Linked DNA regions of Saccharomyces cerevisiae S288C. The protein of the gene in region 1 binds, or shares a complex with, the protein of each later gene. Each region holds a gene or a part of one and is shown on either strand. Other genes may lie near its edges. A codon is read from its position in the direction of its gene.

Region 1 (4,558 bases):
TGGTAGAGATGATTGAGAAGATGTGAAAAATGATATTAAATTTTGTGAGACTGAAGTGATGAATTCCTCGCCCTTTAACCTAACCTCGTTAATCTGTTCTTCCTTCAAGATCAAGCTTTTTTGGTATGATTCAATAATATTAGAATCACCGATCAAAATGTTTTCTTTTCTTTTTTCATTTATAATGGAATTTTGGTAAGTCCCATCGAGGAACTTTTCAATGTGTTCCCAGAATTCTATAAATTGATCACAAATTTTCCACAGGTCGTTAATATATTTTAAGATTAATAGCCACATTTCAATGATAGTTGGGGAATCAGTTAGTCCTTGAGAGCTGGGTTGGCAATTCAAATTTAGATAGCTGGTTCCAGAAATGGTGTTAACTTTATTGGGTTCAACGGTACTTTTCAAACCTTCACTATCCTTGCCCGTATCACTTATTATTTGGAATAATTGATTGATTTTCAAATAATACGACAGCTCCACGCACCCTTGACTTTTATCTTGATTAGTATTGTTTTGTAATATAAGCCTTTGAGAATGAATGATTTTACTAATCATATGGCCAGACAACTCGTTCAGTTCATTCTGAAAGCCATTCATTTTGATGGACATCCATCTTAGGATTGGATTTTCATTGGATGATGAAGTTGTGTTCTTGTTACCACTTTCACTTTCTCTTTGATTATTATTGATAAAGTTTTCTAAGTTCAACAATTTTGAAAAGAGGGACAAAATTGTTTCTTGGGGTTGGTCAATGTTAAAATTTGAATTTATTAAACTGTTCCAAATCAGATCTTTATACGTGACTAATAAATTTTCTATTTGAGTCCAAATTCTTTTTATAACAAGAGATTGTGAAGCATCTGAACTCTGGTTGAAACGGCGACGGAGCGTAAGACCTTTTGAATATTCGATAATGAACTCATTGAAATCGTTGTTAGTCAAACATCTCTTTAAAGATTTGGGTAGGTTGAAGTAAAACTTATTCAATTCAATAAATTTTTTGGTGGCCTGGTAATTCAAAATTTTCTGATAGTTATCCATTAGCGGTTTCAGTTTGAAAGTTGTTGTTCTAATAACCTCGTCGACCTTTTTATTTAAGCTTTCCACATTTATTTGATTTTCTTTTGGTGAATCACATTGGTTTTTTTCATTCGTTTTCTCGTCAAATTCTTTGTAAATTTGGTCTAACTTGTTTTTAATCTTAACATACTTGGTGAAATTTTTACCAACCAATTGTTTCAAATGTATAGATTGGTCTTGTATATCACTGTCCAACCTGTCCAGTGAGTTATTTAGATCATTGAAAGAGTCTTGTTTGTGCATATCTCTCAGAAAGGCTTTGACGTTGAATTGTTTACTGTTGACAAGATAGTTCAACCGCATTGAATCATTTGGTAGATGTTGCAATTCTTTAGACATTTCTTGTCCATTCAAGGGATCTCTAATATAACTTAACGACTCATCGTTTAAATATGCTCTCGATTCCTTGTCAATGCTAATTTGATTGCCATATTTGAAGTCTTTTAATATGTCGAATGACGTTTCAACGCCAAGTTCATTGCTTGTAGCCTCTTCATTATTCAATTTTGAGGAATCTTGGGCCCAGGAATGGGTCGGATTAATAGTCTTCAACTGATAAAAACGAAGTAGTTGCTCGTCGCCAATTTGAAACCTATCCATGGTACCAAACTTTTTTTCGCTACTTTATTTCAACAGAAACTTCTTTCCTAGTTTAGCAGCTTTAACGCAGCTTATTTTTGTTACTTTAGTTGAATAGTAGGAGTTGATACTTTTGTTTTTTCAAGTTGAAAACAGAAACGAAAAATTAAAGAAGCTGCAGATTCAGCATTCATGCCTAAGCTAAAAAGAACTGGCAGCGAAGAACAGAGGAAAGAATAACTGAAACTATGGATTTTGAGGAAGATTACGATGCGGAGTTTGATGATAATCAAGAAGGACAATTAGAAACACCTTTTCCATCGGTTGCGGGAGCCGATGATGGGGACAATGATAATGATGACTCTGTCGCAGAAAACATGAAGAAGAAGCAAAAGAGAGAGGCTGTAGTGGATGATGGGAGTGAAAATGCATTTGGTATACCCGAATTTACAAGAAAAGATAAGACTCTGGAGGAGATTCTAGAGATGATGGACAGTACTCCTCCTATCATTCCCGATGCAGTAATAGACTACTATTTAACCAAAAACGGGTTTAACGTAGCAGATGTACGAGTGAAACGACTTTTAGCACTTGCTACTCAGAAATTTGTTAGTGATATAGCTAAGGATGCCTACGAATATTCCAGGATCAGGTCTTCCGTAGCGGTATCTAATGCTAACAACAGTCAGGCGAGAGCTAGGCAGCTATTGCAAGGACAGCAACAGCCTGGCGTGCAGCAGATTTCACAACAACAACATCAACAGAATGAGAAGACTACAGCAAGCAAAGTTGTTCTGACGGTGAACGATCTCAGTAGCGCTGTTGCTGAATACGGGCTCAATATAGGTCGCCCAGACTTTTATCGTTAGTGGCTAACAAATGGAAATGAAATATGTATATAGTGTAGCAGTATGCAACTCTTTTAAATACACGATTCGTTATTAGATTGATTAGAGCACTTATTCACGCAAATTTGACACGCTTTTTGAACATCCGTTTTTCACGATTTTTTACTGAAGGATCATGAAAGATTGCCACATAAGAGAACACCTCCGTTGCACCAACACTTCATCACGATAAAAAAACTATCGAGCTATCGTACTACGGAACAACTACATAAGTCAAAAATGGCCATTGATTACTCTAAGTGGGATAAAATTGAACTATCAGATGATTCTGATGTCGAGGTGCATCCTAATGTGGACAAGAAATCGTTCATTAAATGGAAACAACAGAGTATCCATGAACAGCGATTCAAAAGGAACCAAGATATCAAAAATTTGGAGACACAAGTGGATATGTATTCTCATTTGAACAAACGAGTGGACAGAATTTTGAGTAATTTACCTGAAAGTTCTCTTACTGATTTGCCAGCCGTTACCAAATTCTTGAATGCAAATTTTGATAAGATGGAGAAAAGTAAAGGGGAAAATGTTGATCCTGAGATTGCAACATACAATGAAATGGTTGAAGATCTTTTTGAACAATTAGCAAAAGATTTAGACAAAGAGGGCAAAGACTCGAAGAGCCCATCTCTCATAAGGGATGCTATTTTGAAACATAGGGCTAAGATCGATTCAGTAACTGTAGAGGCTAAGAAGAAATTAGATGAATTATACAAGGAGAAAAATGCACACATTTCATCTGAAGACATTCATACAGGCTTTGATAGTAGCTTTATGAACAAGCAAAAGGGGGGGGCTAAGCCACTGGAAGCAACTCCTTCAGAAGCTCTTTCGAGCGCTGCAGAGTCTAATATTCTTAATAAACTAGCAAAATCATCAGTTCCGCAAACTTTCATCGATTTTAAAGATGATCCTATGAAACTGGCCAAGGAAACTGAAGAATTCGGTAAAATATCCATTAATGAGTACTCAAAATCTCAGAAATTCTTACTGGAGCACTTACCTATTATTTCAGAACAACAAAAGGACGCCTTAATGATGAAGGCCTTTGAGTATCAGTTACATGGTGACGATAAGATGACTTTGCAAGTCATTCATCAATCCGAATTGATGGCCTACATTAAGGAAATCTACGACATGAAGAAAATTCCATATTTAAATCCAATGGAACTATCAAATGTCATTAATATGTTTTTCGAGAAGGTTATCTTCAACAAGGACAAGCCAATGGGTAAAGAGTCTTTTTTGAGATCAGTTCAAGAAAAATTTTTGCACATTCAAAAACGTTCCAAAATTTTACAACAAGAGGAAATGGATGAATCGAATGCTGAAGGAGTAGAGACGATTCAATTGAAATCTCTAGATGATTCTACAGAATTAGAAGTAAACTTGCCAGACTTCAATTCTAAAGATCCAGAAGAGATGAAAAAGGTTAAAGTTTTCAAAACTTTAATACCGGAAAAAATGCAAGAAGCCATAATGACCAAAAATTTGGATAATATTAATAAAGTCTTTGAAGATATACCAATTGAAGAGGCTGAGAAACTTTTGGAAGTGTTTAATGACATTGACATTATTGGAATAAAAGCGATCTTAGAAAACGAGAAAGACTTTCAAAGTTTGAAAGATCAATACGAACAGGACCATGAAGACGCCACTATGGAGAATCTGTCCTTAAACGACCGTGATGGTGGCGGAGATAACCATGAAGAGGTCAAACATACTGCCGACACTGTTGACTAGAAATTTATGTAGCTATTTTACTGGTGCAGCGTGCATCTACTTCCTTTTTTATTGTTATTTTCATTTATACATAATACAAAAAAAAAAAAGAAGAAAATTAATGATCAATAAAGAAAATCGTGAAATTACAGCAGAGGTTTTGTACCTGCTTTCCTACGTTAGTACATAATATCTTATTTTTTATTAGTGCATGTTTTTCTCAGTGTGTGTTTTTGTAATTTGTATATACTACACAAAGAATCGGA
Region 2 (7,576 bases), on another chromosome or scaffold:
AAGGATCAATGGTCTCCAGCTCTAACTCTATCGAAGGTCCTATTATCCATCTGTTCTTTGTTAACAGACGCTAATCCTGACGATCCTTTAGTACCAGAAATCGCTCATATCTACAAGACTGACAGACCCAAGTACGAAGCTACAGCCAGAGAATGGACAAAGAAATACGCTGTATAAACAGAAGTCCTTACTCAGCTGAAAAAGAGAAGCAAGATTTATATGGGATTGGACGATGAAAAGAATATTAGATACAATGTATTTAAGAAAGAATACAATAAAATATATGTATATTCTATCTCTAATAACATAGATTTACTGATATAAGATATAAGACTATTGTTGGCAACAGTACAGGGGAACCTTTTTTTTTTTTTCCAAACAACTCGAATCGTAAACCTTAATTTAATTTATTCAGGGGAGATTCATGAACATTTTTTTCCTCGAACAGTATGGAGAATTTTTGCTTAGTTACATGCACGCAAGCGCGGGTATATCCCGCATATATTTCAGTTGTGGTTCATATTTGACCTAACTTGTCGAGGGAGCGTCAACGTTAACCGTACCTTTTTCATTTCTAGTCTATCTGTAGGTTAATTACTATTGTCATTAACATCATTTCTGGGGTGAAGCCTATTTAAATTTTTGAAGTTCAACGCATAGCTAGTATATGTAATCAACGATCAATGACTGGTTCTCTGTTTGGCAAAAATTCTGAGGAGCATTACACTGTACTAAGGAGGCAGAAGAATAACTGCAGGAGTAGCCAAAAAAATCTCCGCGACGGGGAATTGAACCCCGATCTGGCACGCGACAAGCGCCCATTCTGACCATTAAACTATCACGGAAGAAACAAAGCACTCACGATGGGGGTCGAACCCATAATCTTCTGATTAGAAGTCAGACGCGTTGCCATTACGCCACGCGAGCTACTATTTGTTGAAGGTTTTATGAAATAACGAAAACATGTTTCCTCTAAAGATGGATGTGCTTCCAGTATTATTCTTGTATGACAATTCATTTGTTTTTGGTGTCGGCTTGTATTAAAGACTTATATCTGTAATATATCTGTATAAATACCAATGCAAGGATATATTAAATGAAAGTTAGCATATTTCAATTGGCTTTTTAGAATAAAGACGAAATTTTTTTAAAGGTAAAATACCCCACTGAAACCTTATGCTCTTTTATTGTACATATAGGAAAATTGGTCAAATGCTGGCCAGCTTTAACTGAAATAAATCTCTACAGGAATGCTTGTTGGGACTAACTCCAGTGAATAATTATTAGGGCTGCGATTATATTCTTGATGGTACGGGTAACTTTCTAATATTTCAGATCCAAGTAATGAAAAGTGAATGTACACTCGTAAGTCTTCAATTATGTTAGATGTACAAAGGAAAAAAGATCATTGGAGAAGTTGGCAAAATACATCTTTTATTTATTTAGCAAGTCAAACAATAAGATCTTTCCTTTTTTCAGATTGAACTTCGGATCAGTGAAAATTGTTGGTTACTCTTTAAACTGTAACACTACAAAGAAATTAAGTCTGAATAATGACTGAAAGAATACCAATAAAGAATTATCAAAGAACAAATGCCAAAGCTTTACTTAAATTGACTGAAAAACTTTTTAACAAGAACTTTTTTGATCTCTATTTAACCTCTCAGCAATTGGTCGTTCTTGAATACCTGCTGTCGATTTCAAGTGAAGAAGACAAACTGAAAGCATGGGACTATTTCTTAAAGGGAAACATAGCATTAAATGTCGAAAAATCATTTCCATTAACCCAAGAAGAAGAACATCACGGAGCGGTCTCTCCTGCCGTTGACACACGATCAGATGATGTATCATCACAAACAATTAAGGACAATAACAATACTAATACCAACACCAGTATCAGCAATGAAAATCATGTTGAAAATGAAATTGAAGATAAAGGCGATAACGCAATAGCAAATGAAGATAATTTTGTGAATAATGACGAAAGTGATAATGTTGAAGAAGACTTATTCAAATTAGATCTAGAGGACTTGAAGCAGCAAATAAGCGGAACAAGGTTTATTGGAAACTTATCCTTGAAAATCAGATACGTCTTGTGGCAGTGCGCCATAGATTATATATACTGTGATCGTAATGAGTTTGGTGATGAAAATGATACAGAATACACCCTATTAGATGTTGAAGAGAAGGAGGAAGAGGAAATTGGTAAAAATGAGAAGCCACAAAACAAAGAAGGTATTTCGAAGTTCGCCGAGGATGAAGATTACGACGATGAAGACGAGAACTATGATGAAGACAGTACAGACGTAAAAAATGTCGATGATCCTCCAAAAAATCTCGATTCTATTTCCTCTTCTAATATCGAAATTGACGATGAACGACGCTTGGTGCTAAATATCTCAATATCAAAAGAAACACTGTCAAAGTTAAAAACAAATAATGTAGAAGAAATTATGGGAAATTGGAACAAAATTTACCACAGTTTTGAATACGATAAAGAAACTATGATAAAGCGATTAAAACTTGAAGAAAGCGATAAAATGATAGAGAAAGGAAAGAAGAAACGAAGTCGAAGTGATTTAGAAGCAGCTACCGATGAACAAGATCGCGAAAATACAAATGATGAGCCAGATACTAATCAAAAATTGCCCACTCCTGAAGGTTCAACATTCAGCGATACTGGGAACAAGCGCCCCAAACAAAGTAATTTAGATTTAACAGTCAATCTAGGCATCGAAAATTTATCATTAAAGCACCTTCTATCATCTATCCAGCAAAAAAAATCCCAATTAGGAATATCAGATTACGAATTAAAACATCTGATTATGGATGTCAGAAAAAATCGGTCAAAATGGACATCGGATGAAAGAATTGGGCAAGAGGAATTATACGAAGCCTGTGAAAAGGTTGTTTTGGAACTTAGAAACTACACTGAGCATTCTACACCATTTCTGAATAAAGTGAGCAAAAGAGAAGCCCCCAATTATCATCAAATCATCAAAAAGTCCATGGACCTGAATACTGTTTTAAAAAAACTGAAAAGCTTTCAATATGACTCCAAACAAGAATTTGTAGACGATATTATGCTAATATGGAAAAATTGTTTGACCTATAATTCAGATCCTTCACATTTTTTGAGAGGGCATGCTATTGCTATGCAGAAGAAATCTCTTCAGTTGATTCGCATGATTCCAAATATCACAATCCGAAACAGGGCTGATTTAGAAAAGGAAATTGAAGATATGGAAAAAGACAAAGACTACGAATTAGATGAGGAAGAGGAAGTTGCTGGTTCTGGAAGAAAAGGATTGAATATGGGAGCTCATATGTTGGCCAAAGAGAATGGCAAGGTGTCAGAAAAAGATAGCTCTAAAACCGTCAAGGATGAAGCACCAACCAATGATGACAAACTAACTTCTGTCATCCCTGAGGGGGAAAAAGAGAAAGATAAAACTGCTTCATCTACTGTAACGGTACACGAAAATGTAAATAAGAACGAAATAAAAGAAAATGGGAAAAATGAAGAGCAAGATATGGTTGAGGAAAGTAGTAAGACTGAGGATTCATCAAAAGATGCTGATGCTGCCAAAAAGGATACGGAAGACGGACTACAAGATAAAACTGCAGAAAATAAGGAGGCTGGGGAAAATAATGAAGAGGAAGAGGATGATGATGACGAAGATGAAGACGAAGACATGGTCGACTCCCAATCTTATTTACTTGAAAAGGATGACGATAGAGACGATTTGGAAATATCCGTGTGGAAAACTGTAACTGCCAAAGTTCGTGCGGAAATTTGCTTAAAAAGAACTGAATATTTTAAAAATGGAAAATTAAATAGTGATTCAGAGGCGTTTTTGAAAAACCCACAAAGAATGAAAAGGTTCGACCAGCTTTTTCTTGAATATAAAGAGCAGAAAGCTTTAGAATCATATCGTCAAAAAATAGAGCAAAATTCCATTATGAAAAATGGCTTTGGAACAGTACTAAAACAGGAAGACGATGACCAATTGCAGTTTCATAATGATCACTCTTTAAATGGAAATGAAGCTTTTGAAAAGCAACCCAATGATATTGAGTTAGATGATACCAGATTCCTACAGGAATATGATATTAGTAACGCCATTCCTGACATAGTATACGAGGGAGTAAATACTAAAACATTAGACAAGATGGAAGACGCTTCCGTGGACCGCATGCTTCAAAATGGTATCAACAAACAAAGCAGATTTCTGGCTAACAAGGATTTAGGACTAACACCTAAAATGAACCAAAATATCACACTGATTCAGCAAATTAGGCACATATGCCATAAAATATCCCTGATCAGAATGTTACAGAGCCCTTTATCGGCTCAAAACTCCAGAAGCAATCCCAACGCTTTCCTTAACAACCACATTTATAATTACACTATTATTGATGACTCACTCGATATTGATCCGGTGTCACAGCTTCCAACGCATGATTACAAAAACAACAGGGAGCTGATATGGAAATTCATGCATAAGAACATATCTAAGGTTGCTATGGCCAATGGGTTTGAAACTGCCCATCCATCAGCAATAAACATGCTTACTGAAATCGCCGGGGATTACCTATCTAATCTGATAAAGACTTTGAAGCTTCATCATGAAACTAACTCCTTAAATAGAGGAACAAATGTGGAAATGCTGCAAACAACACTGTTGGAAAACGGTATCAACAGGCCAGACGATCTATTTTCCTATGTTGAATCTGAATTTGGTAAAAAAACTAAGAAACTTCAGGACATCAAACAGAAACTAGAAAGCTTTTTGAGAGCCTTATTAAGGCCAACTTTGCAGGAGTTGTCCGAGAGAAACTTTGAAGACGAGAGCCAAAGCTTTTTTACAGGTGACTTTGCCAGCGAATTGACTGGTGAAGACTTCTTTGGTTTTAGAGAGCTTGGATTAGAAAAGGAGTTTGGAGTTTTGAGTTCATCTGTTCCATTACAGTTACTGACTACTCAGTTTCAAACTGTTGACGGGGAAACCAAAGTGCAGGCCAAAAAGATCCAACCGGAAGAATCAGACAGCATTGTGTATAAGAAAATTACAAAAGGTATGCTGGATGCTGGTTCATTCTGGAATACTCTACTTCCCCTATTACAAAAAGATTATGAACGTTCCAAGGCCTATATAGCAAAGCAAAGCAAGTCATCTGCAAATGATAAAACCTCAATGACTTCCACAGAAGACAATTCTTTCGCTTTACTAGAAGAGGATCAGTTTGTCTCAAAGAAAACCGCAACGAAGGCAAGATTACCTCCTACTGGTAAGATAAGTACCACATACAAAAAGAAACCGATCGCAAGCGCGTTTATACTTCCAGAAGAAGACTTGGAAAACGACGTAAAAGCGGATCCAACAACAACTGTAAACGCCAAAGTGGGTGCAGAAAATGATGGAGATTCTTCCTTATTTTTGCGAACGCCTCAACCTTTAGATCCTTTGGATATGGATGATGCTTTTGATGATACCAATATGGGCAGCAATAGTTCATTTAGCTTGAGCCTTCCTCGCCTTAATCAATAATGAGCGCGCTAAATAGTTGAATATTTTATCTTTAATTAAATACATTTGCTTATAAAGGTTGTACTATTTACTTGTAGTTGATGTAGGATTCCAATTCAATGCACTTTAATACTCAGAGTACGCTTTATACTTCTGCAGTACCCTCTCTAAAATGTCACCTAGTATTTTTTTCTCTTTACACAAGCGTAGCGTCACTAAAAAAAGGTATTTCCCATGGGTTAATTCGGTATCACACTATACGTTAGGCGTACCAAATTTCGAGATTCATGAAATTGGCTTATTCGTAGCCTTTAAGTACTACCGTTGTTTCTCTCAAAGATAAGAGCAAATAGTACCGTATATTCAGCCTTTATAAATTGAGTATGTTCAAGATACCTGGTTTTGGAAAAGCTGCTGCAAATCATACTCCACCAGATATGACAAACATGGATACCCGTACACGCCATTTAAAGGTGTCAAACTGTCCAAATAACTCCTATGCACTCGCAAACGTAGCTGCTGTCTCACCAAATGATTTCCCTAATAACATTTATATTATTATCGATAATTTATTTGTTTTCACAACTAGACACTCCAACGACATTCCACCGGGAACCATTGGATTTAACGGTAACCAGCGTACCTGGGGTGGTTGGTCCCTAAATCAAGACGTGCAAGCAAAAGCATTTGATTTATTCAAGTATTCCGGTAAGCAATCGTATCTTGGTTCAATAGATATAGATATCTCATTCAGAGCTAGAGGTAAGGCGGTAAGCACGGTATTCGATCAAGATGAGTTAGCCAAACAATTTGTTCGTTGCTACGAATCTCAAATATTTTCTCCCACCCAGTACCTTATCATGGAGTTCCAAGGCCATTTCTTTGACTTAAAAATTAGAAATGTCCAAGCAATCGATTTGGGTGATATTGAACCAACCTCCGCTGTTGCAACTGGGATAGAGACAAAGGGAATTTTGACAAAACAAACACAAATTAATTTTTTCAAAGGAAGAGATGGTTTAGTTAATTTGAAATCATCAAATTCATTAAGACCAAGATCAAATGCTGTGATCAGACCGGATTTCAAGTTTGAAGATTTGGGTGTCGGTGGTTTGGATAAAGAGTTTACTAAAATTTTCAGAAGAGCGTTTGCAAGTCGAATCTTTCCTCCTTCAGTTATAGAAAAACTGGGTATTTCTCATGTTAAAGGTTTGCTATTGTACGGTCCTCCAGGTACTGGTAAGACCTTAATTGCAAGAAAGATTGGTACAATGCTGAATGCCAAAGAGCCCAAAATCGTCAATGGTCCAGAAATTTTGAGTAAGTACGTTGGTTCTTCAGAAGAAAACATTCGTAATTTATTTAAGGATGCAGAAGCAGAATATAGGGCCAAGGGTGAGGAATCTTCCTTACATATTATTATTTTCGATGAGCTGGATTCTGTTTTCAAGCAGAGAGGTTCAAGAGGTGATGGTACCGGTGTAGGGGACAATGTAGTTAATCAATTGTTAGCTAAAATGGATGGTGTTGATCAATTGAATAATATTTTGGTTATTGGTATGACCAATCGTAAAGATTTAATAGACAGTGCTCTTTTGCGTCCAGGTAGATTTGAAGTCCAAGTTGAAATTCATTTACCCGATGAAAAAGGAAGACTCCAAATTTTCGACATTCAGACGAAGAAAATGAGGGAAAATAATATGATGAGCGACGATGTTAACTTAGCTGAGTTAGCTGCGTTAACAAAAAACTTCTCTGGTGCTGAGATTGAGGGTTTAGTGAAGAGTGCAAGTTCTTTTGCAATCAACAAAACCGTCAACATCGGGAAAGGTGCCACAAAACTTAACACTAAAGATATAGCAAAACTTAAAGTAACAAGAGAAGACTTTTTAAATGCACTCAACGATGTTACTCCCGCTTTTGGGATTAGTGAAGAAGATTTGAAAACATGTGTGGAAGGTGGAATGATGCTTTATTCCGAACGAGTTAACTCAATATTGAAGAACGGAGCCCGTTACGTCCGCCAAGTTCGCGAGAGTGATAAA
Region 3 (4,558 bases), 470 kb from region 1:
GGGGCATATTTCAAAAGATTTAAAACGCGCAGTGAAATCAATGACGATGCACCGGCAACGATAGCATTCGTTGTTGCAATAGCCGGGATAATGTTACCAGCAATTTGCTTGATGTCAAATACGGACTTCATTGGAATATTGAATATGTGTGACCTTATGTTCGCAGCAGTTGCGACGAATTCCAAAGTATCAGCATCATCTTTATCAAATTCAATATGATTTTGCTCTTTGGGATAGCGATCCATTAATTTTTGTGTAATATTAATGAAATTACTAATTTGCTCCTGTATTGTGCCAACAGAATTAGAGGCAGACTGAGCTGTTTTAGTAGGAGTATTTATTTGAGAGTCTGATAATGGTACTGGCTTTGTTCTCGTTTTCCATAAATTTTCAATGGCTAGCAGTTTATTTATATCCTGAATGAATAATTTATTAAGAATCTCTGGAATACGGGATGCATCTCTTGATATGATAATTTTTTGCAATTCATACAATTCATTAGTTTCTTGTTTAATGCGCTTAATTTCTTCAGCATCATCTGTACCCCAATCCTGGTTGTTATCATCTTCATTTCCAGAGGTCTCTGACGCAAATAGCTGGTTAAATAGAAAGTTTTTCGCCCAAACAATGCAATGAATTGGCTGAGAAGGAGTGGACCTGATAGTACACACAGGAAAAGTCTTTGGTGTTTCCTTCTTTGTACATTCAAAACACTCAGTTTTCCCGGGGATAATAGGCTGCATGTATCCATCAAATCCAGCTGTTCCAGATTCTATTAAGGGCAGTGATAGAAACTGTGATATTTTATTGACATACCGTCTTGCGGCCAAGTTATCAAGAGCATTGAAGATAATGTCAAATTGCTCAAACCAATGCAGTGGGAAGGTAGAAATGTCCATAACATTTCCTTGGTAAGGCACTAACTTAGAGTTATTGAAATGCTGTACTGCTTTTACGGCTGTGGTAGACTTCGGTTGTTTAATATCTTTTTGTCTAAAAAGAAATTGCCTGTTTAAGTTCGAAAGGTCAATGGTGTCCAAATCGACAATATGTATTTCACCAAATTCCATCAAGATTATATCCTTTAACAATTCAGACCCTATGCCCCCAGCACCGACCAGAAGACATCTTGAGGACCGTAATTTCTTGTAACTATCTTCACCGATGATTGTTACCAAACTTGTTTCCCTTGGCATTTTCTTTTCTTGTTTGGCGTAGCGCTCCTGATCTTGTGTGTCTGTTGAAGTACGCAATTAGTGGATTGCTCATCCAAATATCTTGATTTAGCGTAAACATACTTCGCCTTTGAAAAACTTTAACTTGAAAATAGAGTATAAAAAAAAATTGCACAAAAAATGCGGAAGCCGGGAATCGAACCCGGGCCCCATGCTTGGGAAGCATGAATTCTAACCACTGAACCACTTTCGCTAAGAAGATCTAGCTTACATAGGTTTTGTGGTAATATAAATTCTTGAGACCGTAACCGCGCAAAGAAATACCTAAAATAGTAATTGCTAACTACATCTAAAAACAGACTGAAGCTCACTAGATATGAGACTTTTCTCACATCTTCAAAATAAAGAAAACAATAGCAGGCGAAATTTTTTTGAACCTGGTTATACAGTGCATGCTCCAAAATGTCGTCTTTAAACACTACTTTTTATTCTAAATAATTACTTGAAGGGGGGAAAGAAAAAGCTCAAAAACTACTCTTTTAAGACTTTATTACCGTCCTTATGATATATCATTAAATAGGCTGTGAACCCTTCACCATTCGGATCGCAATTGCCGTTAGAGTCGACCTCACACTCACCGTATTTGAACGTCATGTAATTTCTAAATCCAAAATATTCGTACACAGATTTAGCATGCTCGGCAATAGCTTCAAGGACAATGGCGCAATTTTCTTCGTCTGCTCTCCTTTTGTACTCTTCAAAAATAGTCCTTACAGAACCTCTGATTCCTTTCTCATTTAAGTTCTTACCAATACAGAAAAGATAGTAGTAATTGATGCCATTTGGAATGACTTGCTTTACGCGAGCATTTAAATCGTCAATAAAGTCCTTGTTGAACTTTGCATCATTACTCCTTGCCTTCGGAACGTGAGGTGGAAGACTCCACACTGCAACAGCATCGAAAGTATTAACTTCGGAGATCTCACCATAAGGTGAATCCAGGAATGGCGATATGATATCGGTGGTTATTGTCCTTGTAGGCACCTTCTCAGCTAGAGGAATATTTAAGATTTTCTTGCAGATAAAATGAAACGCTGGCGAGTTACTAAAAGCAATAGACAAAGTCTCTGCTGCTCTTCTGGCATCCGTAGTCTTGTTCAGGGTACAGACCATATGGCCCTTAGCATCGTTGTTTTCTAATGGAGTTGGCAGTTTGTTCTCGAAGGACATGATGTTCGGTTACATGTCTTAGAATTATTTTCTCGAGATTAGTGAGTGACTTGGCATAATATCAGGTACAATAACTGTTATATATACGCCGGCGGCATTTCATTTTTTTCACTTATCTCAGCCCCTGGGACTCTGATGCCGTTCACACCAACGTCTGCTGTGATTTGGAGTGAAATATCTGGATACTAATAGAAATATTACGATAAAAAAGAGTTATCTACAGTTTGCTGCATTATTTTTGCGTTATCGGTCAATCAACTTTAAGAGATCACCGTACATTTCCGGCAGCATTAGCGGGCGTCTCTTAGTTTCTTTGCAATACAGTAGGAACTCCAATTTTTTGTTCGTCTCCTCGCTACATTCAGATTCAACTGCAATCTCGAAAACAAGTTTTTTATGCCGCCAAAATAGGTATACATTGCGTTCAATGCATTCTCATTCATCTCTATCGCAAGAACGTCTTGTTCAAAGCTGCCCTTTCTTGAGGCTTCAAGCGCAGCGCACAGAAAAGAAGAAAATCCGAACCATGTAATATAGATCGGCGGAAACGAAAAGTAAAAAGTAAGGTTGAAGACACTCTGAACCCGGGGAAGAGTGCATACAAGGTACCGTGCCAAAATTCAAGAGATTAGGGCAGGAATGATGGACAAGCATAAGTATCGTGTGGAGATTCAACAGATGATGTTTGTCTCTGGTGAAATTAACGACCCACCCGTAGAAACCACATCACTGATAGAAGATATAGTGAGGGGTCAAGTGATAGAAATTCTTTTACAGTCAAACAAAACGGCGCATCTTAGGGGAAGTAGGAGCATTCTCCCTGAAGACGTCATTTTCTTGATCAGACACGACAAGGCCAAAGTCAATCGTTTGAGAACATATCTGTCATGGAAGGATTTGCGTAAAAACGCCAAGGACCAAGATGCTAGTGCCGGTGTAGCGAGTGGCACTGGAAATCCTGGGGCAGGTGGTGAAGATGATTTGAAAAAAGCAGGTGGTGGCGAGAAAGACGAAAAAGATGGTGGAAACATGATGAAGGTCAAGAAATCCCAAATTAAGCTGCCATGGGAATTGCAGTTTATGTTCAATGAACATCCTTTAGAAAATAATGACGACAATGATGATATGGATGAGGATGAACGAGAAGCTAATATAGTCACTTTGAAAAGGCTGAAAATGGCTGACGATAGAACACGAAACATGACTAAAGAGGAGTACGTGCATTGGTCCGATTGTCGACAGGCAAGTTTTACATTTAGGAAGAATAAAAGGTTCAAGGACTGGTCTGGAATTTCGCAATTAACTGAGGGGAAACCCCATGATGATGTGATTGATATACTGGGGTTTCTAACTTTTGAGATTGTCTGTTCTTTGACGGAAACAGCTCTGAAAATCAAACAAAGAGAACAGGTATTACAGACTCAAAAGGACAAATCCCAGCAATCTAGCCAAGATAATACTAACTTTGAATTTGCATCATCCACATTACATAGAAAGAAAAGATTATTTGATGGACCTGAAAATGTTATAAACCCGCTCAAACCAAGGCATATAGAGGAAGCCTGGAGAGTACTACAAACAATTGACATGAGGCATAGGGCTTTGACCAACTTTAAAGGTGGTAGACTCAGTTCTAAACCAATTATCATGTAAATTTTTGTATAATTTCATCATGGAGGTGCATGGGTTTCCTTCTGGTATGATAAATGTGAGCCAAATGAATTGAAAAATACAAATAAAGATTATGTACGTAGATACGCGTTATAAAGAGGACTATCTGATCATTGGGGTCTTTTTCGTTGTGAAATTGTAACGGGTGAACTCAGTGATTAAAAAATTGCGTGATGTTGAGATACTATGGGGCGACAAGAAACTTACCCTTAGTATTCAGCATTAACAAATTAATGTTGAGGGCGTCATCTTTCACCAGGCCATTTCATTATAGTTCATATTCTCTACAGAACGGTGATACTCCTGATAAAGGCAGCACTAATAAAAATGAAATACGGACACCTAATAACGCTGTTTGGAAAGAAAATATAGAACTTCAATGGCAGCACTTGAAAAAGAAATTAAATGAATTGTATTCTAGGTTTAACTTCCACCGAGATCAATTATCCTTTCAAGTTAACAAGGCCAAAAAATCAATTCAA

Evidence for each region.
Region 2: the proteins of TAF10 (region 1) and SPT7 are in contact, whole or in part, in a cryo-EM structure (PDB 6T9I), measured with the Saccharomyces cerevisiae proteins. Residues at the interface, in NP_010451.3 of Saccharomyces cerevisiae: Arg69 (codon at 2,118), Asp71 (codon at 2,124), Lys72 (codon at 2,127), Leu74 (codon at 2,133), Glu75 (codon at 2,136), Ile77 (codon at 2,142), Met80 (codon at 2,151), Ser83 (codon at 2,160), Thr84 (codon at 2,163), Pro85 (codon at 2,166), Pro86 (codon at 2,169), Ile87 (codon at 2,172), Ile88 (codon at 2,175), Pro89 (codon at 2,178), Asp90 (codon at 2,181), Ala91 (codon at 2,184), Val92 (codon at 2,187), Ile93 (codon at 2,190), Asp94 (codon at 2,193), Tyr95 (codon at 2,196), Tyr96 (codon at 2,199), Leu97 (codon at 2,202), Thr98 (codon at 2,205), Asn100 (codon at 2,211), Gly101 (codon at 2,214), Phe102 (codon at 2,217), Val109 (codon at 2,238), Leu112 (codon at 2,247), Leu113 (codon at 2,250), Leu115 (codon at 2,256); in NP_009637.1 of Saccharomyces cerevisiae: Arg892 (codon at 4,227), Phe893 (codon at 4,230), Asn896 (codon at 4,239), Leu899 (codon at 4,248), Gly900 (codon at 4,251), Leu901 (codon at 4,254), Thr902 (codon at 4,257), Met905 (codon at 4,266), His920 (codon at 4,311), Ile922 (codon at 4,317), Ser923 (codon at 4,320), Ile925 (codon at 4,326), Arg926 (codon at 4,329), Met927 (codon at 4,332), Gln929 (codon at 4,338), Ser930 (codon at 4,341), Lys973 (codon at 4,470), Asn974 (codon at 4,473), Arg976 (codon at 4,479), Ile979 (codon at 4,488), Phe982 (codon at 4,497), Met983 (codon at 4,500), Asn986 (codon at 4,509), Val990 (codon at 4,521), Ala991 (codon at 4,524), Asn994 (codon at 4,533), Gly995 (codon at 4,536), Phe996 (codon at 4,539), Glu997 (codon at 4,542), Thr998 (codon at 4,545).
Region 3: the proteins of TAF10 (region 1) and SPT3 are in contact, whole or in part, in a cryo-EM structure (PDB 6T9I), measured with the Saccharomyces cerevisiae proteins. Residues at the interface, in NP_010451.3 of Saccharomyces cerevisiae: Phe120 (codon at 2,271), Ile124 (codon at 2,283), Asp127 (codon at 2,292), Tyr129 (codon at 2,298), Glu130 (codon at 2,301), Tyr131 (codon at 2,304), Arg133 (codon at 2,310), Ile134 (codon at 2,313), Arg135 (codon at 2,316), Ser137 (codon at 2,322), Val140 (codon at 2,331), Asn142 (codon at 2,337), Ala143 (codon at 2,340), Asn144 (codon at 2,343), Ser146 (codon at 2,349), Gln147 (codon at 2,352), Arg149 (codon at 2,358), Ala150 (codon at 2,361), Leu154 (codon at 2,373), Thr176 (codon at 2,439), Val181 (codon at 2,454), Glu194 (codon at 2,493), Tyr195 (codon at 2,496), Gly196 (codon at 2,499), Leu197 (codon at 2,502); in NP_010680.1 of Saccharomyces cerevisiae: Thr50 (codon at 3,192), Leu53 (codon at 3,201), Arg54 (codon at 3,204), Glu62 (codon at 3,228), Phe66 (codon at 3,240), Arg69 (codon at 3,249), His70 (codon at 3,252), Lys140 (codon at 3,462), Leu141 (codon at 3,465), Pro142 (codon at 3,468), Trp143 (codon at 3,471), Glu144 (codon at 3,474), Phe147 (codon at 3,483), Met148 (codon at 3,486), Phe149 (codon at 3,489), Asn150 (codon at 3,492), His152 (codon at 3,498), Pro153 (codon at 3,501), Leu154 (codon at 3,504), Arg318 (codon at 3,996), His319 (codon at 3,999), Arg320 (codon at 4,002), Ala321 (codon at 4,005), Leu322 (codon at 4,008), Lys326 (codon at 4,020), Leu330 (codon at 4,032).

The regions. Positions count from the first base shown.
Region 1 is NC_001136.10:787,536-792,093, forward strand, and holds TAF10 (Taf10p), read left to right. Parts: upstream 1-1,913; coding exon 1,914-2,534; downstream 2,535-4,558. Other genes in the region: exocyst subunit SEC5, read right to left, coding at 1-1,686; Hsp90 co-chaperone CDC37, read left to right, coding at 2,793-4,313.
Region 2 is NC_001134.8:399,229-406,804, reverse strand, and holds SPT7 (SAGA histone acetyltransferase complex subunit SPT7), read left to right. Parts: upstream 1-1,553; coding exon 1,554-5,552; downstream 5,553-7,576. Other genes in the region: E2 ubiquitin-conjugating protein UBC4, read left to right, coding at 1-177; AAA family ATPase SEC18, read left to right, coding at 5,915-7,576. UniProt on the Saccharomyces cerevisiae protein: Component of the transcription coactivator SAGA complex. SAGA acts as a general cofactor required for essentially all RNA polymerase II transcription. At the promoters, SAGA is required for transcription pre-initiation complex (PIC) recruitment.
Region 3 is NC_001136.10:1,255,652-1,260,209, forward strand, and holds SPT3 (transcriptional regulator SPT3), read left to right. Parts: upstream 1-3,044; coding exon 3,045-4,058; downstream 4,059-4,558. Other genes in the region: E1 ubiquitin-activating protein UBA2, read right to left, coding at 1-1,196; IAT4 (Iat4p), read right to left, coding at 1,707-2,405; SHE9 (She9p), read left to right, coding at 4,250-4,558. UniProt on the Saccharomyces cerevisiae protein: Component of the transcription coactivator SAGA complex. SAGA acts as a general cofactor required for essentially all RNA polymerase II transcription. At the promoters, SAGA is required for transcription pre-initiation complex (PIC) recruitment.